Linked DNA regions of Cricetulus griseus. The protein of the gene in region 5 purifies or fractionates together with the protein of the main gene of each other region. This does not show direct contact. Links are inferred from orthologs where the notes say so. Each region holds a gene or a part of one and is shown on either strand. Other genes may lie near its edges.

The links. Proteins that work in one complex are often made in the same cells at the same time.
Region 1: the proteins of Sin3a (region 5) and Nr0b2 purify together in Homo sapiens (affinity purification with western blotting; 3 studies listed by BioGRID). This does not show direct contact. The link is inferred for Cricetulus griseus from reciprocal best matches to the Homo sapiens genes SIN3A and NR0B2.
Region 2: the proteins of Sin3a (region 5) and Sap30l purify together in Homo sapiens (affinity purification with western blotting; 4 studies listed by BioGRID and IntAct, with this or other methods). This does not show direct contact. The link is inferred for Cricetulus griseus from reciprocal best matches to the Homo sapiens genes SIN3A and SAP30L.
Region 3: the proteins of Sin3a (region 5) and Chd4 purify together in Homo sapiens (affinity purification with mass spectrometry; 3 studies listed by BioGRID, with this or other methods). This does not show direct contact. The link is inferred for Cricetulus griseus from reciprocal best matches to the Homo sapiens genes SIN3A and CHD4.
Region 4: the proteins of Sin3a (region 5) and Mta2 purify together in Homo sapiens (affinity purification with mass spectrometry; 4 studies listed by BioGRID, with this or other methods). This does not show direct contact. The link is inferred for Cricetulus griseus from reciprocal best matches to the Homo sapiens genes SIN3A and MTA2.

What each region holds. Positions count from the first base shown.
Region 1 is NC_048595.1:19,710,085-19,714,723, reverse strand, and holds Nr0b2 (nuclear receptor subfamily 0 group B member 2), read left to right. Parts: upstream 1-1,463; coding exon 1,464-2,004; intron 2,005-3,724; coding exon 3,725-3,966; 3' UTR 3,967-4,228; downstream 4,229-4,639. UniProt on the Homo sapiens protein: Transcriptional regulator that acts as a negative regulator of receptor-dependent signaling pathways. Specifically inhibits transactivation of the nuclear receptor with which it interacts.
Region 2 is NC_048600.1:71,858,115-71,862,701, reverse strand, and holds the start of Sap30l (histone deacetylase complex subunit SAP30L), read right to left. Parts: upstream 3,177-4,587; 5' UTR 2,953-3,176; coding exon 2,755-2,952; intron 1-2,754.
Region 3 is NC_048601.1:21,330,681-21,335,537, reverse strand, and holds the start of Chd4 (chromodomain-helicase-DNA-binding protein 4), read left to right. Parts: upstream 1-1,681; 5' UTR 1,682-1,835; intron 1,836-1,872; exon of another isoform or gene 1,873-1,895; intron 1,896-2,668; 5' UTR 2,669-2,747; coding exon 2,748-2,847; intron 2,848-4,857. UniProt on the Homo sapiens protein: ATP-dependent chromatin-remodeling factor that binds and distorts nucleosomal DNA. Acts as a component of the histone deacetylase NuRD complex which participates in the remodeling of chromatin.
Region 4 is NC_048596.1:51,151,672-51,156,549, reverse strand, and holds the start of Mta2 (metastasis-associated protein MTA2), read left to right. Parts: upstream 1-1,702; 5' UTR 1,703-2,155; coding exon 2,156-2,183; intron 2,184-2,456; exon of another isoform or gene 2,457-2,509; intron 2,510-3,673; coding exon 3,674-3,741; intron 3,742-4,178; coding exon 4,179-4,272; intron 4,273-4,878. Other genes in the region: Eml3 (echinoderm microtubule-associated protein-like 3), read left to right, coding at 360-458, 705-835, 921-1,124. UniProt on the Homo sapiens protein: May function as a transcriptional coregulator. Acts as a component of the histone deacetylase NuRD complex which participates in the remodeling of chromatin.
Region 5 is NC_048597.1:168,627,175-168,631,259, reverse strand, and holds part of Sin3a (paired amphipathic helix protein Sin3a), read right to left. Parts: intron 2,439-4,085; coding exon 2,320-2,438; intron 1,681-2,319; coding exon 1,470-1,680; intron 457-1,469; coding exon 340-456; intron 1-339. UniProt on the Homo sapiens protein: Acts as a transcriptional repressor. Corepressor for REST. Interacts with MXI1 to repress MYC responsive genes and antagonize MYC oncogenic activities. Also interacts with MXD1-MAX heterodimers to repress transcription by tethering SIN3A to DNA.

The DNA.
Region 1 (4,639 bases), on a different chromosome or scaffold from region 5:
CTGTTACCGTTCCTTGCCATACAGATTGTTTATTCTTTTCCTAAGGAGGCCTGGGCTGAGGTAGACAGCACTACAGTGAAAGCAGTGTGGCTGCCTGTCTAAAGGATAGAGTGGGGGCAGCTTCTTGGCCTACACAGAACCTTGCTCTGTCAAGTCCCAATACCACAGGAGCCCTGATTGTCTCCACCAAGGCTCACAGAACCCTGGAGAGCAGCTGACTGGGAATCATGGAGCCAAGACCAGATGCCAGGGCTCCTCATCCGGAGCACCAGGTTGCCCAAGAGTGTGGCGACAACAAACCTGCTAGGCAAGGCTAGCCAAAGGTCAGGAACCTGACACAGCCAAGGACCTCCCATTTCCCTCATACCTCGCCTCTAACCACTGAAGACAAATATCCAGGGCAGAGAAGCGGCGTGTTAGCAGAGATGTTTCCAGTCGCACCATAGGTGGGCCACACCTGCAGACCAGGCAGGGGCTGGGGGCTGGGAGTGGGGGTAGCTGCTAGCCACCTGTGCTGGGAAATTCACACTTCAGCTGCACAGTTGATTGGGGGGGGGGGAGGGGCAAACAAGGATGACTTCGAGGTCAGACATATCTGTGCTCTGTCCCTTCTGGTTGGAGTGACTTTGAGCAGGTCACTTCTCTGGGAAGTTCTCAACATTACAAGGGAAAGTGATCCATATAGAGTGGGTCCTCAGTAACTGGCAGCCTTGTAAGTAACAATTTTGCAAGGGCCAGCAGGCCCAGCCCCTCTGGAGCTATTGGAGCACAGAATGGGAGCAGGGGGCTCTGGAATGGCCTTCCTCCAACGGGGCCTCTGCACTGGAGTCACAGGAGGGGGTACCTCCTAGACTGTACAATGAGCAAAGTCCCCCAGGGACCTGGCTCCCTTCCCTGCAGCCTGTTCCTTACCGACAACAGGAGCAGAGCCCCAAGGTTAGGCAAACACAGCAGCGATAAGGCACTTCCAGGCTGGGTCAGGCATTCAAGGCCTTAGCTGGCTTTCTCTGGCTGGCTCCTTGGCTCAGTGAGAACCCTGGTCTTGTGTGCATGAAAGTGGGCTCCAATCGAAACAGCAGCAGTCACAGCCACTGGCTGGTTGAGCACCTGAGACCTTGGTGCCCTGGTACAGCCTGGGTTAATGACCTTGTTTATACACTGAGTCATCCGATAAAGGGCATCCAGGCAGTGGGCAGGTGGCCCTGTGCCCTGCAATGGCCACTTCATTGACTAAAGCGATAGCAACGCCACGTGGAGCTCCAGTGCCCCTCCCCCTCCGGTCCTGCCAGGGTCAGTGTATGTGTGCATTGTGTGTGTATGTTGGCTTTTTTTTTTTTTTCAATGAACATGACTTCTGGAGTCAAGGTTCCACGGCCATTCCCCCTCCCGCCATCGAGGATATAAATAGCACTCACAGTACAGAGGACCGATAGCTGGGAAGAAACAGGAGCGAGATACCAACCATGAACTCCAGCCAGTCTGGGGGCTGCCCCTGCCAGGGCTCTGCAGGCCGCCCTGCTATTCTGTACGCGCTTCTAAGCCCCAGCCTCAGGGCCAGGCCCATTGCACCCGCATCTCGCAGCCACTGCCTCTGCCAGCAGCACCGGCCTGTCCGTCTGAGTGCTCCACAGCGCACCTGCCGGGAGGCCTTGGATGTCCTAGCCAAGACAGTAGCGTTCCTCAGGAACCTGCCGTCCTTCTGCCACCTGCCCCATGAGGATCAGCGACGGCTGCTGGGGGTCTGCTGGGGCCCTCTCTTCCTGCTTGGGCTGGCCCAAGATACTGTGACCTTTGAGATAGCTGAGGCTCCAGTGCCCAGTATACTTAAAAAAATCCTTCTGGAGGAACCCAGCAGTGGTACGCAGGGTACCCAGCTACCCGACCGGCCACAGCCCTCACTGGCTGCCGTGCAGTGGCTCCAGCGTTGTCTGGAGTCTTTCTGGAGCCTTGAGCTGGGTCCCAAGGAGTATGCCTACTTGAAAGGAACCATCCTCTTCAACCCAGGTGAGCTCCCAGACACTCCTGGATGGGGGCCACGCTGGGAGGGGACAGGACCCGTCCAGGAAAAGAATCGTTGTCTCTTTGCGTCCTTGTTAGCTCCAAACAGGTATCTCCCAGGAGAGACAGGGAGGTTAAGCAACTACCTGAAGGCCACACAGTAAGGCAGAGGCAGAACAGGCCTGGGAATGCAAGTCAAGCTAATGCAGAGATTGGTCTTTGCCGCTGTGCTGGAAGGGTAGAGTGGGTAAGGCAGACACCGCCGTGTGCAGTGTCTGCCTTCTTCAAGGGCAGGCTGCACAGTGAAGTTCTGAAGGTTAAAGTCCTCCGTGGGTTCAGAGCGGCCACACAGAAAGAATGGAAGGGTGGGGAGTGGTCACTTCTTGGGTGGAGAGCAGATGGGGTGGGGTGAGGGGCGATGAGGAGAAATGAGGCGGTTTTACCACGGAACCCTGGCTGGCCTAGAACTCACTACGTAAAGCAAGTTGACCTCAAACTAACACCATGCCTGGCATGGGAAAATATTCTTTGTAACTTTGAGGAAGACAAGAGACAGGCCTTGGAAGTTAAAGTGTAACGCCAAACGGCAGTAACAGTACCAAAGAATCACATGCATTTCCCATATGTCAGGACTTAGCCTAAGGGTTTTACAAATAGTGATTTGGTTAAACCTCACAGCAGTAGTGGGCAACAAGTATTGTCATTGTTCCCACTAGATAGATGAAGAAACTAAGGCACAGAGATTTAAACTACTCATCTAAGGTCACTCAGAAAGATGAAACTACTTGTCCAAGATCACTGAGCTCACAGTGGCAGTGCTGGGATTCAAATTCAGCCAGCCTCGAACTCACAGAGATCCGCCTGCCTCTGCCTCCCGAGTGCTGGGATTAAAGGCCTGCCACGAACAACCGGCCTCTGGTTCTTTTTTGGTTTTGGCTTTTTGTTTTGTTTTTTGAAACAGAGTTTCTCTATGTAACAGCTCTGACTGTCCTGGAAGTAGCTCTGTAGACCAGGCTGGTCTTGAATTCACAGAGATCTAACCGCCTCTGCCTCCCAAGTACAGGGATTAAAAGTGTGTCACCACCTCGAAAATCTGTCTCAAAAAACAAAATAAGAAAAGAATTATTTAGATATTATTTTATGTGTGTAAGTTTCTACCTGTATGTATGTGTATCATCTGGTGGGAGCTCACAGAAGCCGGAAGAGGGTGTCAGGAATTGGAATTATAGGCAGTTGTGAGCCACAATGTAGGTGGGAACCGGACTCAGGTCCTCAGTCATAGCAGGAAGTGCCCTTAACCACAGAGCCATCTCTCTAACTCGTATGTCTCAGCCCTTATCTCCACATAAATGGAATAAAATGTAGGAGATGGTGATTGAAACCTCCAAGGTGGCAGAGTGGGCCAATGCGTGGAACTCATTAGTAAAGTATTACCTCCCGAGCTACAGGTCCTGGGTTTGTTGCCTAACACCACCAAACAATTAGGTCTCTTCTGTATCTGTAAGGGCTGGGAATGTAGTTCAGTGGTACAACTATCGCCTGGCATGTTAAAGGAACCAGCAATGTTCAGCCCAAATGTAGAATGCCTGCCAAGCATGCCCTAGTATGCACGAGGCCCTGCATTGCACCCCGGCATATGAGGGGGGGAGCCACTAACATTCTCACACCCTGGGCTAGCCTCCACGGAGCAGCTGCTCACCAGCCCTCTTCACCCTCTCTGCCACAGATGTGCCAGGCCTCCATGCCTCTTGCCACATCTCCCACCTGCAGCAGGAGGCTCACTGGGCCTTGTGTGAAGTCCTGGAGCCCTGGTACCCTGCTAGCCAAGGCCGCCTGGCCCGAATCCTCCTCATGGCCTCTACTCTCAAGAACATTTCATGCAGCCTTCTGGTGGATCTCTTCTTCCGCCCTATCATCGGAGATGTTGACATCGCTGAACTGCTGGAAGACATGCTTTGGCTGAGGTGACCTGCAGAGTGGAATCCAGGGCTTCCAAAGGGGAGCTTCAACTCCCCAGGAGCAGCCCTCACCTCAGCCATGCCCCCAGCTTGGACTTCCTTGGTTTGGACACAGTATACTAACTGCCTAATAGGTCCTTGGTGGCCCCCCAAAGTCTTTGGGCCAGGGACAGAGATGGGAGCATGAATGAGGCTGTACTTCAGGCCAGAATTCCTCCTGACTTTGTATAGAACTCAATTAAGTTATTGATTTTTGTAATAAAAGGTATGACCTGCTGACACCACGGTTGCCTATGGAAGGGGCAAGCCGTTCTTCAGGGTGCATGCTCCTCTTGCCAGATGGAACTCCTGGAATGTAAGCAGAAACCAGCTCCTTAGTGTTCTAGAGAGGGACAGTGACCTCAATGCTGGGGACAAGGTTTATTTTACAACTGAATGAGAAGCCACCAGAAAGCATCCTCTTACTACCTGCCACCTTCTTGCCCTTCTCCCTGAGCAGAGGGACTTTCTGTCCTTGTCTCCAGAGTCTCCATTGTCCCCTCTCAGGTTACTGTTCCCTAGAGGTTGTCTCTCTTGCCTCCTCCGGGGAATTGGGATTGCAGCTAATCACAGAAACACCCCATTCCCAAAATAGACAAGGCCACTTCACTTTCAAGAATTTTTGACCATTGAAGTCCCCACTT
Region 2 (4,587 bases), on a different chromosome or scaffold from region 5:
GAGGAACCATTCCAAAACCCCACAGAACCCAATGCCTGTGTAAATGGCTCTAGGTAGGGTAGGGACAGCTGGTGCACAAATGTTCTGTGGAGACATTTGAACTGAAATTTAGGCCTTAAATCCCTAAAGATAAAAGTAAGCTGACAGGAAGTCACCATCAATTAATTCAGGCCATTTTATGGAGGAAATAACAAAAACTGTTTATTCAGACGATTATCAGTTTCATGTGAGTCATGTTTTAGTTTGTTTTAGTGAGTCATGAGTCATTTGGAATTTATATTGTGATGCTGTCTTGCACACAGCAGGCGCTCAATAAGTGCTGATGCACCAATATAGGCACTCTCATACCTGAAAACAGTTTATGCTGGTGAGAGTCACCTCTTACACGGCTACAAACTGGGATGGCTTTGCCAGATTCCACTTTGGCAACAAACTTTCAGATGTAAGTATGTGCCACTGTCCTAAAGAGTAACACTCAGGTGATACAAGACTACAGAACATGTATCCCTGTCCCACCCCTGGCAGCTGGCACTTGGGTTGGTAATATTGGCATGTGCCTCTTGAGAGAGCAAGCTGCTTCTCTCATGTGTAGTGCTAAACAGAGAGCAGCAGAATGAGGTGTTTCTAAATCTTAGATGGAAGATGTCAGACCCAAGGTCCTCCCACCAAGCTTTGGTAAATGTCCCCTTTCTCCTGCTACATTTCCTTCATACTATTCCCAACTTCAGCCACTCTGCAAAAGCAAAGGAGAAACATGCCCACTGCAAGTTGGTTACACATTACAGAGGCTGCCAGTGTCCGACCTGAAGGGTTGTGGTATCTTATTTTAAAAGGGTGCCCACTAGATCCTTTTAGGAGACAGCCTTTCTCTGTCCTTAACCATGTTCAGCAACTTCAGGGCTCAGAGGCCTCTGTGGGTGGGGTGGGGGCATGGGGGTGGGGCAAAGGCTCAGTGTGTGGTTGTCTTTCTTTCCCTCTCTTTTCACTTGCTACAACAGCTAAAACTGATTGTAACACAGTAGTAACTTGGGATTGGATTCCTGCCCAAGTCTGTGGGATGAAACAAAAACTCTTCCCACCAGCACCTTGAAATGGACTGGAACTGTTTCCAACCACACACCTTACCAAGCGCAGCCTTTGGGAGACCAGATGATCTGTGTGATGCTCAACACTGCTCCACAGGGGTTTCCCATGGGCTGAGTGGGTAAATGGAGTCCCTACTGCCACAACAAAACCATCCAGATGTGAGACTACTTATCGAAATACTGCCAGCAGTCCACAGAAAAGTCAGGCACTGTTTCCAAGTGAATAAATTCTTTACCATTCTAGAATTCCCTTTTCACTCCCACATGTGATTATCAGGGGACACCTTACTGTCTAGCCGGTTTTTGCTTCAGAATAATTCATTCATTCCTCATTAATTTATCAATAGATATTTGTAAAAAAAAAAGTCCCAATCATAAAAAAAAAAGCACTGTTCAAAAAGAACCAGACTATACTGGCTGACTAAATAAAACTGAGTGTGCAAGAGAAGAGTCTAGAAGAAAAGATGTTGACCTTATTTATTAAAGGCAAATGGAACTTGGGTGTAGGGCTTGGAAGCAAGCCAGATAATTGGTCTAGGAAATTAGCCAGCGCCTAAGTGCAGTGTGCATTTGCATCATCGCTTCCTACCCCAGCCTCAGTTTCTGCCACATCATTAGCATAAAACAGGCTCCCTTTTCAGGTAACAGGCAATATCTGAGTGCCCTAACCCAGTGGTTCTCAACCTGTGGGTCGCGATTCCCCCCCCCCGGTCATATATCATATATTTACATTACGATTTATAATAGTAGCAAAATTACAGTTATGGAGTAGCAAAGAAGTAATCTAATGGTTGAGGGTCACCACAACATGAGAAACTGTATTAAAATGTCACACCATTAGGTAGGTTGAGAACTACTGTCCTAAACGTGGGTCATTAATCATTCAAGTTCCCTGAATATTAAAAGTTCCTTAACCCAGTCCCAATTCTTAATCTGGAAGCTGCCACTCAAGGCTTGCAGCAACAGATGTCAGACTAAAAAGTTCGTAACTGGTTGGCAGTAAGCACATAACCGTTAACAAGAGCAGGTGAAATCACTCAGGAAGTTTCCTATAATTAGCCACAAGGCGCAGGGCAATCCCATTCAATTTTAAATGTCCGCCTCCGTCTGCATTACCAAATATGTTACCCATCAAGAAAACTGATTCCCCGCCTCCCTCCAATCACATCCACTGCAAGAGTCATCTAAGACCTGGCCTTGGCCTTATTTCTGCTACATCTCAGAAAAATTCATTCGCTGCCAGCGAAGCGGGCTGTGCTGCGCTGCAGACACAGAGGCCGCGGGAGACAGGAAAGTCGCGGCCACCTTGCTAGTGTCTGAAAGAACGACAACGTCCCTGAAGGGAGGACGAAGTTGGAGAAGAACCTCCGGGTCCCCTCGTCAACTCTTATCCCCAAATTCTTGCAAAAGTAGCCCACCTCTCTCTGTTCTACTATCCGGCGCAACAGTGACAGCTGGAAACTGCTGTCACTTTCCCAGGCAGGGAGAGTGTGCAGAGCCCTCCTCGGCCCCCCAGCCCACCCTCTGGGATGCGGGCAGCGTCGCGGAGCACAGAGCGGCCTCCACGATCCTGAGTCTCCTGTTCTGCACAGACCGCGCGGCGAGGCCCAGCGCACCGAGCGTCCCCGGGGTCCCTGCCCGCGGCCCTGCGCTGATCCCCGAGACTCACGCTCTTGTCGATGTCCAGCTTGAGTTTCTTCTGCGAGATGCTCTTCTGCACCCTTTTGCTGAAGGAGGCGTTGCCCGCGGGCCGGACGCAGCGCTCGCCGTCCGCGATGAGGCAGCAGCTCTGGCCGTAGCCCGGGGCGGCGGCGGGGGTGGCAGGGGGCCCTTCGCGGCTGTCCTCTTCGGTGCTGAAGCCGTTCATCTCCCCGCCCCGGCCCGGCCCCTCCGGGGGAGGGCCCCTGTAGGCCACTCCGCCGCTGTGAGCCCCGCGGGGCAGCTCTCCGTCAGCCCCGCGCCCGAGTCCCACGGTGCGCCCCGGGTCAGACGCGCTCTGAGCTCCGCGAGGCCCGGCTGCTCTGTGCTCCTGCAGCCCGGGCCCCGCCGGGAATGCACACGCTGAGGCTCCGGCCCGGGCTCGCGAGCCTCCCCCGGGATCCGGGCCCGGCCGCCCTGGGGCTCCCGAGGCCCGCCGGCTCCCGCCTGCTCTGCAAAGTCTCCACCCCGCGGCTCCTCGCGCGGGGCCCGGCCTCGAACCTGCCGTGTCCGGGCCCCGCGGTGCTCACGGCCCGCCCCAGCGCCCTGCCGCTCGGCGGCGCCCCGAGTCCCCGCGGCAGCCCCTGGGCCGCCCCGGCCGCCGCCCGCCCGACGCGCCGCACCACAACAGTGCGCTCCCCCGCCCGCCGCGGCACAGCGGAAGTCCCGCCTCCATGCGCATATTGGCCGTATTCTCTGTATGGGCGGGGCCTTCGTCGCCGCTGGCGTTCCCCATTGGGCGCCGCCGCTGCCGGTCTCCGGTGCCAGGCTACTTCCTGGACTCTGCTGGGATGGGTTCAAAGTAGAGAAAGTGCAAGAGGGAAGAGTTACCCGGGCGAGGGAGGGGAACGGGCCGCAGGTTCAGTCCTAGCTGTGGTGTGGGTCTGGAAGAATGCAAGATCTTCTGGTCCCAGTTAGGATGGTGAGCAGGGTCCTCGCTCCGAGGAAGAATGCTGAGCGGGGTCTGGAAGAATGCAGGGTGTCCTGGGCCAGTGGAGGATGGTGAGCAAGGTCCTGGCTCTAGGGCGAGATGATGAGCTGGGTCAGAAGAGACGCGGGGTCCCTACTCCGGGGATGAATGCTGAACAGAATATGGAGGGACGCAGCGTCTCCACTCCGGGATGGGATGCTGAGCGGGGTGCCCATTGCGGGGACGAGATGCTGTACCAAGACAGGAGGGACACAGGGTCCCGTCGAGGGGCGGAAAGCTGAGCAGGTTCCTAGTTCCTGCGCAGAATGCTGAGGTGGATCCCGGAGCAAGGTGCCGGCCCCGGGACGGAATGCTAAGCTGAGTCTGGCAGGCCGCAGGGTCTGGTATACCGAGCAGGATGCTGAACGGGGTCTGCAGGAAGCAAGGTCAGAATTCAGCAGAGATCACGGTCGAGGTGGACTGAAGTATCGAAGACTGGATTGAAGAAGTATCGAAGACGTGCATGGGAGAACTAAGGGACCCGCATAGGGGAGGGGTATGTGAAAGGGGACCTTAGGGAGAAAGTCCTGACAGGAGAACACACTGGGTAAAACGGAAAGGCCTGGGCTGGAAGGCCTGCGCAGCAGCGGGAGGTAGAGTGCATGAGTGCATGACAAGGGACAGAAAGCCAGTGTGGAGGTACATTTGCGAATAAAGAGGGTGGAGAGACAACGGAGGTCTGACAGGAGAAGTAACAGTCTTTGCCCCCAGCCCCCCGTACACCGAGGAAGGAGGGGCTTAAAGAGGAAAATATGGGTTGGGGCAACCCTTCTCTGGCTTGTTCTGGATGTTTTGTAGGCTGAGGCAACAGAGAAAGGCCCTTAGGCCACCCAC
Region 3 (4,857 bases), on a different chromosome or scaffold from region 5:
TCTTGCCTTCTGAGTGCTGGGATTACAGGCATATGGCACCATTCCCAGCTGTTTATGTTTCTTGTGGGAAGGCACCTGTATCTTTCTTTCTTTGCCTTCTTAGTTTTTGTGCCAGCTCTCTGTACCTTGCTAGGTTCTCTGTCAAAGGGATGTGTAATGAACACGAGTAAAGGGGAGCAGAGAGCCAGCGAGCAAGGCATTACAGGGGGTCTTCAGTTCATGTGGTGATGATGGGATAGCCATAGGGGCGGCCTGGACTTGAGAGAGGCAGTGGAGAGGACTGCTGGAATGTTGAGAAATAGTTTTTGGATGGGGGTTTATAATTAGTATGGGATGTTCTGGGTCAGTTAAAGTTCATGCAAGTTTTTCATCTAGTAATATATTATTTGTTTGGTTTTACACAAACTTTCAGAGTGGGAGGTAAGCATCTGGGATATACCTGGATTTTGATTGGATTGGATGGGGCTGTAGGTTGGCTCTCTGTTCCTGAGTGTCTGGAAACGGTGAGCTAGGGAGCCCAAGGTCCTGAACATTGAGAGGCTTCTGACCAGAGTACTTACTCCTTTCGGGCAGAAAGGGAATAAGGTGTGTGCTAATGGGGGCGGGGACAGGGCAGTTAGTAGTTTGCCACACCCTCTCTGCTCTTGGGTGTTTGGAAGAGACTGACAGCTTCTAGAGATGGGGGAGGTTGTGACTATTATGGGATGTCCGGCCAGAAGACCTGTGTGAGGTGGTGGAGTGCAGCACAAGTATTACTGGACGTGGCACTCGGTTGTGTTGGCCGTATTATGGTGTCATGGGCTGTCCAAATAGATGGAGTAAATGATGGGACATTGCCCCAGTGTTAGGGGACAGGAGATTTAGACGTCTGTCCATTTGTGGGGTGACAGTAGAGCTGCTGCTGGTCATTAGTGAGTATCTCTTTGATAGGGAGGAACGTAATTTATGGGCCTTGGAGCTAGAAAGACCAGGAAGGCTGGGGGTGGTGATGTGAACATCTAGAACACCCTGAACACCCTGGTGTGCGGGGACTGAGGGCAGCTCTAGGGGGTTGGCTATTATGGGATATCAGTGTAGAAAGTGGGAGACTGATTATTACGGGATGTGTGTGGGAGGAGGCCGAGTGTCCGTTGTAGTGTGGGGTGGGTGAGTTTCTGACAATCATGGGATATCAAACTGGGGGTGGATGAAGGGTGGTTATTATGGGATGTCAGTGGGGGATGGGGTTGAGTATTATGGGATATGAGGCTGAAGTGATGGGAGGGGTGCTTATTATGGGATGGCCAAGGGGAGGGAGGGGTAACGAGTTATTATGGGATGTTAGCAGTAGAGCCAAGAGTGAAGAAGTTGGCAAAGAGTGGTTATTATGGGATATCTGAGGTGGGGAGCAGGTTTAGTTTGTAAAGGTCTGCAGTATATGTCAGTAGCCCCCGGGCACATATATGCATGGAGTGTTGGGGGCGGGGTGTGTGTATGTGGGGTGTCCGTGTGTATTATGGGATGGCCAGGAGGTGGGCGGTTGCCCGGGTGACGCGCGCGCGCGCTCGACGGGGGCGTGGCCAATGGTTGCCTGAGCGACGAGGGGGCGGGGGTTGCCCGGGAGACCTAGGGAGGAGGGTGGCGGTAGTGGAGGGGGGGTTGGAGTTGGTTGAGGTTATTATGGGCTGTCCGTGGGGGGGCGGGGCCTGTGCGGTGGGATTTCCCGGCCGGTGTTTCGGGCCCTTTAAGAGGCGACGCCGGAGCCGGAGCCATTTTCCCCCCTTCGGCCGCGGTGAGGAGGAGCCGGAGCGGGAGTGACACCGGCGAGACCCAGCGCGACCTGAGGCGGCTCTAGGGTGAGGGGAGCGCGAGGCTCCGGGAGAGACGTCTCTCACAGCCCGACATCATCTTGAGGGGTATCGCTTCACCTGTCCCTTCCTCCTCAGGCGTCCCGGGGCCGGCGGGCCGTTCCCGGGCCGGGGAGCCGACCCTGTTCCTCCTCCCCTGAGGCGTCCGGGTTGCCCCCAGGCCGTCGCCCTGCCCTGAGGGAGTCGTGCTCCCCGCGCCCCTCTCCGGGGCTCGGCCTCCCACAATGCCGGGCGCCCGCCCCTCGCCCTTTGCTCGCTGGCCCCCCGGGACACGTGGCCCGGCCCCCTTCTCGGTGGGAGCTCGTCTCCGCCGGCGTCCCGACTCCTCGGGACCCTGGAGCGCCCGAGCCTCCACGCCCCCTGGTCCCCGCCGTTCCGGAAGAGAACCCGAGTTGTCCCAGAGGGACAGCCTTTGGAGAGCTGCCCTGTCTGGGGACTGGCCCCTCCCCGGGCTCAGAGAGGCGCCCCCCCCACTCCCAAGTGACCTTGTGTCCCCGAGCACCGGCCGCCTCCCTGACCCCTCCGCGCCTCGCCCGCCACTCGGACCCCCTCCTCAGGCTCCCCCGGTTCACTCTCGCCCAGCGAGTCCCCACCCCACCGTGCACCAGCCTGACCTCGGGGGCATCGCTCCCTCTTCGTGGGGGCTCCTGCCGGGGAGCCGGCTCGCGGGCGGGCGGTCCCCGAGGAGTGTGGAACTAAGTTCAGCCTGAGTGCTTCGGGTGCTCGGCTGGGGTGGCAGGGCCGGGGAGGGGGGGGCGGAAAGAGCGAGTGGGGGAGGGGGACTGCGCGTCACTCACTGTTCTCCCCCCTCCCCCGCACAGTGACTCGGGCCAGTGTAGAGGGCCCCAGGCCGCAGGCAGGAGCAGCTGGGCCAATTCCCTGGCCGGGGAGCGGAAGGGGATGGCGTCGGGCCTGGGCTCCCCGTCCCCCTGCTCAGCGGGCAGTGAGGAGGAGGATATGGATGCACTTCTGAACAACAGCCTGCCCCCACCCCATCCAGGTAACGTCTTCCCAGAGCGCCCAGGGCAGGAAGTGTTTGATCTTTCCTGGAGACTGGAGTGAGGCTGGGTGTGCGCTTGTCTCCTGCCTGCAGAGCCCAGGGCGGAGGGCATCCGAAGGGAGTGGTTCTCTTCTGCGGAGCTCTTGTGTCTTGGGAGGGGGGAGCCATGCGCCTCCTGGCCACCGCGGACCCAGATGTAAGCTGGCTGTACTCAAGGCTGTCTGGAATACTCCGCAGTTCCCAGTTGAGGGAGCTCTCTGGGCTAGCAGGCATTTACCTTGTGCAGGTTCTTAGGAATGCAGGTGGCTGGGACTCCTGGAGACTGGTGACACGGTGGGGAGCGTTGAGATTTCTGTTGTAGGAGCCCTGCCAGGCATTTGGGATCCCGCAGTTGTTCTCGGGAAAAGAAAGTGGGAGTGTTGGTTGGTTGCTCTCTGTCCGATTATTTTTAGCTTGTAATCAGTTACCGGTTTTCTGCGCAGTTTCAGGAGTGCGAAGTTTGAATCTCGCTCCTTGTCGGATCTAGAGAACTTTTAGCTAGGCAGATTATTGGGATTTTTTTGAGTGAGGAAGGGATGGGGGGACTAGGAGGATGCAGTACCCGAGTAAGGAGAGGCAGAGTGAAGGAAGGGGACTCCTTTTCCCCCGGAGTGGACATAATCCTGGCTTCCTTCCTAGAGGCTTCGGCCACTCCGAAGTAGTTTGGGGTCTGGGTTAGTGGTGTGAGGTGTTTGTGTGGGTGTGTTAGGGTTTGCACTATCGGTGTTTTGGGGTGGCTCCTTGGACTGGCCAAACCCGTAAAGTTATAACCAGCTTGCCCAAGTGCCTGTTCTCAAGTGATGGTTGATGTCATGCTTATAAGTGGATTTCTTCTCTTGTCTCCTTATTCAGAGCCCCGTAGTTGAGACACCTATTGGTTTATTGACTCCCTGTTCACTTAAAAAAATTTTAAATTTAAATTAAAAAAAGCAAGTCCTTCCCTACCATTCTGGAGTCTGGTGGTCTTGATTTTTTTGTTTTTGTTTTTGTGGTTTTTCTATGTAACAGCCCTGGCTGTCCTGGCATCTGCTTTGTAGACCAGCCTGGCCTCGAACTCACAGAGATACAATTGCCTCTGCCTCCTGAGTGCTGGGATTAAATGGTGTCCACCACCATGGCCAGGCCTGTTTTTGTTTTTTATGACATGGTTTTCACTTCTGCCTTTTCCTTAGATCCAACTGGATTTTGAGGTAGCCCAAAGAAATGCTTTTTAAATTAAATTTGCCTTTTTCTTTTCTTTTTTCTTGAGACAGGGCTTCTCTTTGTAGCCCTGGCTGTCCTGGAACTCACTCTGTAGATTAGGCTATCCTCCAACTCACAGAGATGAACCTGCCTCATGAGTATTGGGATTAAAGACGTGTGCTACCACTGCTCAGCAAATGTGACATTTTCTGATTTGAAATTATTTACTTCACAGTCCCAGGCCATTTAAGAGAGCTGTTACCTTTGGCCACTGGGATAAGGGACTTAGATTTGCATCTCATCACTGAGGTGTAAGGCTGCAGATTCCTGTGCCTTTATGGGGTGGTGGTAAGGAAGAAGGCTTACTTTCCTTCATATTCTTTGTGAGGGGCAGGATGAGTAGTGCTGTCCCACCAGTGTTGGTCCTCAGCGTAGCCTTTGGGCTATTATCCCTTTGGTCTAGGGCTTTCCTCCCGAGTTGAGTGTGAGCTATGCAGTCTCTCAGTGTGAACTCTGCCCCACTGTGTAGCTTGACCCAGTTTTTCCACATGACACACCCAATTTGCCCCTTTCCCAAATCTTCCTTTCTGTCTCCTGCAGTGTGTTGCTTGTCATTTCAGCGTGTGATTGCCTGAGGAGTTTGAGGGGTGCATGCGGACGGAGAGGCAGGCATTGCTTTGCCTCCATGTGCTTGTCCTTGTCTCTTCTGCTCTGTAGGCAAAGATGAAGAAGGGTGCAACTGATTGAGGGGTACTGTAAGGGCTGTGGGGGAGAAGCCTTTAAGAAAAT
Region 4 (4,878 bases), on a different chromosome or scaffold from region 5:
CTGTCTGCCTCTGGCCTTTAATTCCAGTGCTGGGATTAAAGGCATACACCATCATGCTGGGTGTGCTTAGACTATCTTTCTTTCTTTCTTTTTTTTTTTTTTTTGAGACTGGGTTTCTTTGTCTTGGCCCTTGGCTATCCTAGAACTAGGTTTGTAGACCAGGCTGGCCTTGAACTCACAGAGCCTCTATCTCCAGAGTGCTGGGACTAAAGGTGTGTAACAACCATCCTGGCTGGACTTAGATTGTCTTAAAGTCAAACGAAATCAAACTACAGTGAGAACTCAGAAATCACATAGTGAGGTTCATAATGGATCAGGTCACCTTCCCAGCTGAGCTGGTTGGGGCAATTTCTACCTAGGGGACGTGGCTGGAGGCTGCAAGCTTCTAAGGAATCGCTATGAGAGCAGAGACCGGGAGTGGGCTACCTACACCTGTGTGCTAGGCTTCCACGTGTATGGTAAGTAGTGAAGCCAGCATGCAGCCGAGCCCTTTAGCAGGGCTGGGAAAAGAAGGTGGAACCCATTCTTGGATCAGAATGTTGGGTGTGTGTCATGTGTCATGGCGGGGGGGGGGGGAGAGGCAAATCCAGGCCAACAGGTCCCTTTGGGAATGGAGAGGATTGTCTGGAGGTAGCCTGGAAATCCTAAGCACTGCAGCTCTAGGTTGTGGAAAGTGCCCTGGCTGAGGCTACCTGTTGTGTTAGGTGTGTGGCCTGATGGCTCTGATGGGACAGACATCAACTCCCTTTGCCGCTCCCACAATGAACGTGTGGTGGCTGTAGCAGACGACTTCTGCAAAGTACACCTTTTCCAGTATCCGTGCGCTCGAGCCAAGGTGAGTCTTTAGAGGACCGTTGGGCCCCAGTGGGTAGTCTTGGGACCCTATCACTGCTGTGACTGTACATTTTTTTCTGGTGCAGGCGCCAAGCCGTATGTACTCAGGCCACGGCAGTCACGTGACTAGCGTCCGGTTCACGCATGACGACTCATACCTCGTCTCCCTAGGTGGCAAGGACGCCAGTATCTTTCAGTGGCGAGTGTTGGGCGCTGGGGGCTCTGGGCCCTCTCCTGTCACGCCTTCTAGAACTCCCTCTCTGTCCCCTGCCTCCTCCCTGGACGTGTGATGAATGCTGGATGGTTTTGTCCCTCTGGTACTGTGGCCTTGCCCCGCCCTGGCCAAAACCCCTAGGACCAAGTGCAGCCCTTTTCCTGGGCTGGCTTTTTCTTTGATTTCAGTACATTCCCAGTTGCGCATTTTCCTGGAGGGGCGAACCGCCCCATTGCACACACGATAACGACTCGCTGGCTGAACCAGGCAACCCCAGCTCTGACTCCCTTTGCCTGGTGAGGGGCAATAAAAAGAAAGAAAGTCACCGCTTGGTGCTTTTGTGGAGTGCGGCGGTTGCCTCAGGGGCCCGGTAGGGTTGGGATGAAAGAAAAAAGTGCAGGGCGGGAAGGGAAAAAAGGAGCTCGGACCAAATATGCAAATAACAGGCAAAGCGGCTTGCAAATAACCTCAAGAAGCGCGAGGGTGCGCGCGCGCCTTGCGAGGCCACTGTCGGAGCTGCAGGGACACATAGAGTAAAGAGTTAAATGCGGCTCCCTGCCGCCCTCGGGGGCGGGGTCGAGCTGCAACGGAAATAACCGAGCGCGGGGCCGCGGCTGAGCGAAAAGAGCCGAGTTCCTTCCGGAAGTGGCCGATCTGCGGGGTCTTGCTCTCCGACCTGAGCCGAGCGCTGGGCCTTGTTCTCCGGATCGGCCGAAGGTGTTCCGGAAGGAGGCGAACCCGGACGCGGGCAGGGCAAACCTTCTCAGGGGCTGGCACCATACGGCGTCTGCTGGGACTCGGTGAAGACGCTAGGAGCCGGAATCTGTCTCCGGTCAGGCAGGAACCGAGCTCGTTCCGGAAGAAGCCGAGCAGACCGGCGCCGGCCTGGGTATCCCGGGCGTGAGGCTATAGCAGTGTCGTCGTGGTCTTCGTGCGAGCAGTGATGAACCGCGACGGCTGAGCGAGCAGAGGTGCCGGCTGCGCGGGCCCCATCGACACTTCCGCGAAGCGTCAGCCCCACGCTGGGGGCATCGTCTGGAGCTAAGCTTTACCCCCGCGAGCCTCCGGGTCCTCTTTGTGCGGCCGGAGGCCGCGGCGGGAACGGCCATGGCGGCTAACATGTACCGTGTGGGAGGTGAGTACACCGGGCGGAAGAGGTTGGGGACGGGACCAGGGAGACTCGGTGTCCGCAGGCGCGGGGAGCAACATCTGGGGTCGTAGGGGCCACAGCGCCGACCGGAACCGGAACCGAGACCTATGGTTCCGCGGCGGCGACGCTACTGGGAGCCGAGTCTCCCGCAGAGGCTTACCTACAACGATCGGTGCTCTTGAGTCTGCGACTGGATCCCGGGGTGGGAAGTAGGCTTGGTTTGGAAGGGGACTGAGTGACTGCGGGGCCAGCTGCGGGGAGCCAGTCGCTCAGGGGTTTTCTTTTCTTTGGCGGCTTGTTCGTTCACGAAGGTGAGGCCTGAGGTGGGGGGAACAATTTACTCAATTCTCCCACGCAGGGGTGCAACTCCAATGCAGAGTTGTGTGGACTACAGGGAAATCCTTGTTATCTTTTTCCCCCTCCTCTCTCACTTCTTGGTTTTTCGACTCTGTCTGTCTGTCTCTTTGGTTTTTCGAGACAGGGATTCTCTGTAGCTCTGGCAGTCCTGGAACGCACTCTGTAGACCAGGCTGGCTTCGAACTCAGAGATCCTCTTGAGTGCTAGGATCTGACTTTTGAGTGAGAATCTGATTTTAGCGCTAAGTGTTGCAAGGGTGGGAGTAAAAACTTTTCTCCCTCCCCCCCCGCCCCCCCCCCCCGGCTGTCTTAGAACTCAGGAAATAGACCAGGTTGGCATCGGACTCAGATCCACCTGCCTCTGCCTCCCTCTGCTGGGATTAAAGGTGTGAGCAATCACTGTCTGGATAATTCTTTTATTTCTTTTCTCGTTCTTTTTTTTTTTTTTTTCCTCGAGACGGTTGATACTTATTTTCTTTTGTTTTCTCGAGACAGGCTTTCTCTGTCTATCCTTGGCTGTCCTGGAAATTGCTCTATAGACCAGGCTGTCCTCGAACTGGAAGAGATCTGCTTACCTCGGCTTCCTGAGTGCTGTTGGCCACCACTGCCCAACTAATACTTTTCTTTTGCGGGGGTGGGGGGATGGGGGGTGGGGTTCGAGACAGAGTTTCTCTGCGGCTTTGGAGGCTGTCCTGGAACTAACTCTGTAGACCAGGCTGGTCTCAAACTCAACAGGGAACCACCTGCCTCTGCCTCCTGAGTGCTGGGGTTAAATGCATGCGCCACCACCTTCTCTAATACCTATTTTCTTTTCTTTTTTTTTTTTTTTTTTTTGGTTTTTCGAGACAGGTTTTTCTCTGTGTAGCTTTGGAGCCTATCCTGGAACTCGCTTTTGTAGACCAGGCTGGTCTCGAACTCACAGAGATCCACCTGCTTCTGCTGGGATTAAAGGCGTGCATCACCAACACCCAGCTATACTTCTTTTCTTAAGTCTTTCCTCTTGCACATCTCCACATCTCTACCTAGCATTTTGTCTTTTTTTGGTCCACCCAAATCCACTTTCTCTTCTGGGTGCTCTGGTTTTCTTCTGATCTTGTTTCTCCCCACCCCCTTCTACAGATTACGTCTATTTTGAGAACTCCTCTAGCAATCCTTACCTGGTTAGACGGATTGAGGAGCTAAACAAGGTGAGTGGAGCAGAAATGGAGCAGTTTCTTTCTTCTGGAGTCTAACTCCAAGTGGAAGGGAGAGCCAGCCTTACCTAGGCTTAGAGCCTATACAGGTGAGCGAGCGTTCATTCCATGTATAGAGCTGCTGAGAGCTTAGCTGAAGCTTTATCATTCTCACATCTGGGGATAAAAGAATCCTGTCTCTGTTGTTTTTTTTTTGTTTTTTTAAATATACAGTGTCTATTTTGCAGCCTTGGTTGCCTGGAACTTTCTGTGTGATCAGGTTAGCAAACTTATGGAGACCCATCTCATTGGTCCTGTAATTATCTTTGAATATTAAGTCTTCATTGCTGAGTTTTTGGCCTCTTCTACTTAAGTCCTTAGAGAGTGCCTGTTAGTGTACCTCCACTTTCAAATGGCTAATTTTCATTGCCCTGTTTTTCTTCCTTCTTTAGACTGCCAATGGCAATGTGGAAGCAAAGGTTGTCTGTCTCTTCAGGAGAAGGGATATTTCTAGTAGCCTCAACAGCCTGGCTGACAGTAATGCTAGTGAGTGTCTTCATTCCTTCCCCTTTCCCCCCTCCCCAGGATCTGAGGACTAGACTTGTTCCTGCAGGTGTTTCCCCTGGTAACACGCCCAAGGCAGGGTATGAGTTTGGAGGTGGGAAGTGCCTGGTCTGCAGAGCAAGGCCTGTTGTTACATGTTGGGGCTGGGGCTGGAAGCCGGGTGGGGAGACCATGATCAGAAAAGCCAGAATGTGGTGTGTGTGTGTGTGTGTGTGTGTGTGTGTGTGTGTGTGTGTGTGTGTGTGTGTGTGTGTGTGTAAGGAGAGATACTTAGATAGGGAATGAAAAGAGCTTTAGAGAAGGCACGTGGGGACATTTTGGGTACTTTGGGACAGTGGTTAGTGAGCGATGGTCAAGGTGGAGAGGAAGATACTGTTTTGAGAATCCTGCATAGTAATGGGGGAGGCTTATCCTGTCGTCTGGAGGTGAAGCCAAAACATTGACGAAGCTGACGGAAGCTAGAGGGCAGGAAAGCGCTTGAGCTTTCCTGTTTCCCTCTCTATTCCAGTTATCATCTGCCTTACTTCATCTTCTCATTTTTCCCATTTAACTACTTTGCCTCTTTTTTTCCCTAAAGTTTTCTTTTTT
Region 5 (4,085 bases):
AAGAAGCAGACCCAGTCAACACAGTGTAATGAACATACTAAGTCAAACACATATATGCAAAATACAATTGACTCCCTTTGGTGTGGTATTAGTAAACATCATCTGAATACTGGAGATGTTTGAGTCTAGTTTCAGAAATTCCCTTCCTGCAATAAGGGATATCTCTACCAGCTGATTCATTCATTCTAGATCTTCCCATCCCAGCCATCCCCTTTAAAATGTAACTCTTACAGGCACTAGGGCACTTTTTTTTTTAAGCTGCCTCACACAGAGTATTTAAATACCCCTTCATTTCACATCTTCCTTGTTCCCCAAACTTCAAATCACAAAGGAGGATACCTCAAATCGTTCATCTTCACAACGATAAATATGTTCTTCATACTGAGTCTTCTTGGAACTAACAAAAGTGGAATCTTCAGACCATGATGGGAAGGAAACCCAGGTATCATTTAAAACCTTTGGGTAGAAAAAGAGGCAGAAAAGCTTGTTAAAACTTACTGGTAATTAAACATTCTCAATAAAAAGACAATACTATAGAGAGGAAAAAATATTTGGTGTCCTGGTTAGTTTTTTTGTAGCTTGACACAAGCTAGAGTTAGTTGAAAGGAGGGAACCTCAATTGAGAAATTGCCTCCATAAGGTCAGACTATAAGATCGGAAAAATTTTTAAATTTTTCAATTTTTTTTAAAGATTTATTTATTTAATTACATGCCCTATCTGCACATACTCCTTTATGCCAGAAGAGGGCATCAGATCCCACTAGAGATAGTTGTGAGCCATCACATGGTTGCTGGGAATTGAACTAAGGACCTGTGGAAGAATAGCTAGGCCTCTTAACTGGGAATGGAGTGATGGGGAGGGGATTCCAAGTCATTGTGTATGGTTCCATGCTGGGTCCTGGGTTCCATAAGAAAGCAGGCTGAGCAAGCCAGTAAGCAGCACCCCTCTATGGCCTCTGCACCAGCTCCTGCCTCTAGGTTCCTGGCCTGCTTGAGTTCCTCTCCTGACTTCTTTCAGTGACGAACAATGATACAGAAGCATAAAATAGATGGTTTCCCAAGTTGCTTTGGTCATGCATGGTATTATATCAAGAACAATAGAAACCCAAACTAAAACAGTTCACAAAAGAATAGAGTAAGGGAAAGTTCTGAATACAAATTTTCTTTTGAAAAAAGGTTCATGATTTCACAATTCATATAAATCCTGGCCTTTCTTGTAAGACAGGGTTCACAGCAGATAAATAAGGGCACTTGCTATCAAACCTGACCACCTGAATTTGATCCTGGGAACCCAGATGGTAGGAGGAGAGAAGCAACTGACAAGTTGTCTCTGATCTCCACAAGCAGACCACATTTCATATACATATACACATATTAAAAATAAATGAAAACTTTAAAAAATTCTGGCCCTAGTACTATCTGTCAATACCCTGCTTTGAAGAAGCTGAAGATCCAAGGCTGACCCTTACCTCTTTACACAGAGGAGTCCGTCCTGTACACTTGGGCTGCTGGTAACTTTTTGGCAGGGCTCGGTAGCTAGAGCCCAGTCGTTTACAAGAGGCGTAGTCTATCTCCATTGCAATGCCTTCTGTAGCTCGTTCCTTTGGAAAGCTTTCTAGATGTACAGACTCCTTATATCCCAGAAAGTTTTTAAACCAGTTAAACAATTCAGGGAATTTCCTGAAGAACAAAACCAAAAGCTGGTAAGCAATTCAAGGCAGGATGCAGTTATTATGAGGAACAACATTACAGTTCATGGTGGGTCACAACTCTACTGCCAGAGTTAATAATTATTTTCTACCTGAGAAGCATCCTTTAACCAGTTAAGTTCCATTTTCCTTATGTAGTATTTTCCAACAAGACAGTAAGAAGCTAAGAAGCCATTGTTTAGAATATTGCCTCACTTTTCATATAATCCCCGGGATGGCAAATATAATCAAAATTCTAGAGCCCTGGAAGATCAGTGCCTATAAACATGTAGTGCTGGTCAGACAATCAAGAGACCATGAGTGCCGCATCACAGCTGATACACTGTTAACACTTTTTTTTTTTTTTTGAGGTGGGAGGTGTGGGGGGTGGTCCTCTCTGTAAGCCAGGTCATTCTGAATTCACCTGCCTCTGCCTCTATGGTGCTGGAATTAAAGGCATGTGCCACCAAGCCGAGCTCTACCTGTTTTCCCAACCTGAAAGTTATACTAGAAGACTTATAAGGCACCTTCTGACACTGTCATTTCTGACAACTACTCAATTACCTTTGTTTTACAATCTCTGCATTATCGTATCAGAAGTACTAGAAGCTGTGCTCCTCACTTCACTTACCCCAGAAAAGGAGAGACTAATTGTACAAGCTCAGCCCGAGAGATCACCTCCTGGTTAAATATAACAAGACAGCGCAGAAAGTTATCATACGCCTCTGCACTCCGAAGAGCCTTTCGGACCTTATGGAAACAATCAGAAGAAAAACGGTTACAAGGAGAGTCAGGGTCATCAATTTCTTTTTTTAATAGAGTAAATTTAATCTGATATTTACTAAGGAATTGCTGTTATTTTATTTAGACATGATCAAAGAAACCACCTTAAAAAGCAAAAAATGAGACAATGTAATCTGTCTCTAAACAATCTAAAATGAGTATGAATACATATGGAACAAACACATAGAACAGGCAACGGAACTACTGACACTTGATAAGAGCACAAAGGGTCGTTTTATTATCTCTTTAGTTTTACATGTGTTCAGAATTTTTTATAATTAAAATGTGAGACCATGCACTACACCTTCTCATATGCTTGCTACTTCAGACCAAGTCAATTACCTAAGCTTCTGTAGTCCATCTTAAGAGATACTGAAAGAAATTTTTCAATACTGTTTTAATAGTCTTGTTAATAAAACTTTTTGTATGTTGTTTTGTTTTAGGCATGATGTCATGTAGCAGAGACAAACCCTAAACGTGCTATATATAACCAAGGACAGCCTTTAAAATCTGGATCTTCTTCCTCCTAAATGCTTAGAATGTCAGCATTCTTAAGACAGAGGCAGCAGGCACCACACCAAGTTCAAGACCAATCTGCTCCTGAGACCAGCCTGAGATTCAACAAGGTCTTGCCTCAAAACACAAAAACAGGCTGATGGGTGTGGGGGGAGGGCAGAAAGATGGCTTAGTGGTTAAAAGTGCATCCCATTCTTGTAGAGGACCCAGGACTAGGTGGCAACAAACATGAGGTAATTCATAACCACACCTATATACTCATGGCATATGGGTGTTCATAAAGGCACACATATACACATCTAATAATTAAATCTTAAAAATGACAACAAAAACAGCCTGAGGATATGGCTCAAATGGCAAAGGGATTCTTTCTCAAGCAGAGGACCAGAGTTTGGACTCCCAGCACCGACATAAAATACTAGGCACAGGAATATAAAACTGTAATCCCAGCTCTCGAGAAGCAGAGACAGGAAGACCCCTGAAGCTTACAGACAAGTCAGTGTACCAATTTGTGAGCTCTAGGTTCAATGAGTCCTTCTCTCAAAAAAACAAGGCAGAGAAGCAACTGAAGATAATACCCAACACTAACCTCTGACCTCCACACATATATATGCTCAAGTGTTCTCTCTCTCTCTCTCTCTCTCTCTCTCTCTCTCTCTCTCTTCTCTCTCTCTCTCTCTCTCTCGTGCTCGCACACACACACACACAAACACACACGGGGGGGGGGGGGTTTGACAACACGGGACATTGAGAGATAGCTCAATGAATAAAACACTTGTCATGCAAGTCTAAGGAAAACGTTGGGACAAGTCAGACGTAGTGTAACATTTGTAATTCCAGCACACCTACTGGGATTGAGTTGGGAGGCAGAGATAGCAAATTCCCTCTACAAGCTCCAGGGCCAGATACCTTAAACTGTCAGTGGTGCTCAACAAAAGACCCTGCCTCAGGTAAGGTAAAATATTAGGACAGATATCTGTTTTGATGTGCACGTTCTAACATTCTCTCTCACACAACCTCCCACACACACACTTACAGCACTGAAAACTAATTTTTTGGGTTTTTTTGTTTTTTTTTCCAAATAGGATTTCACTATGT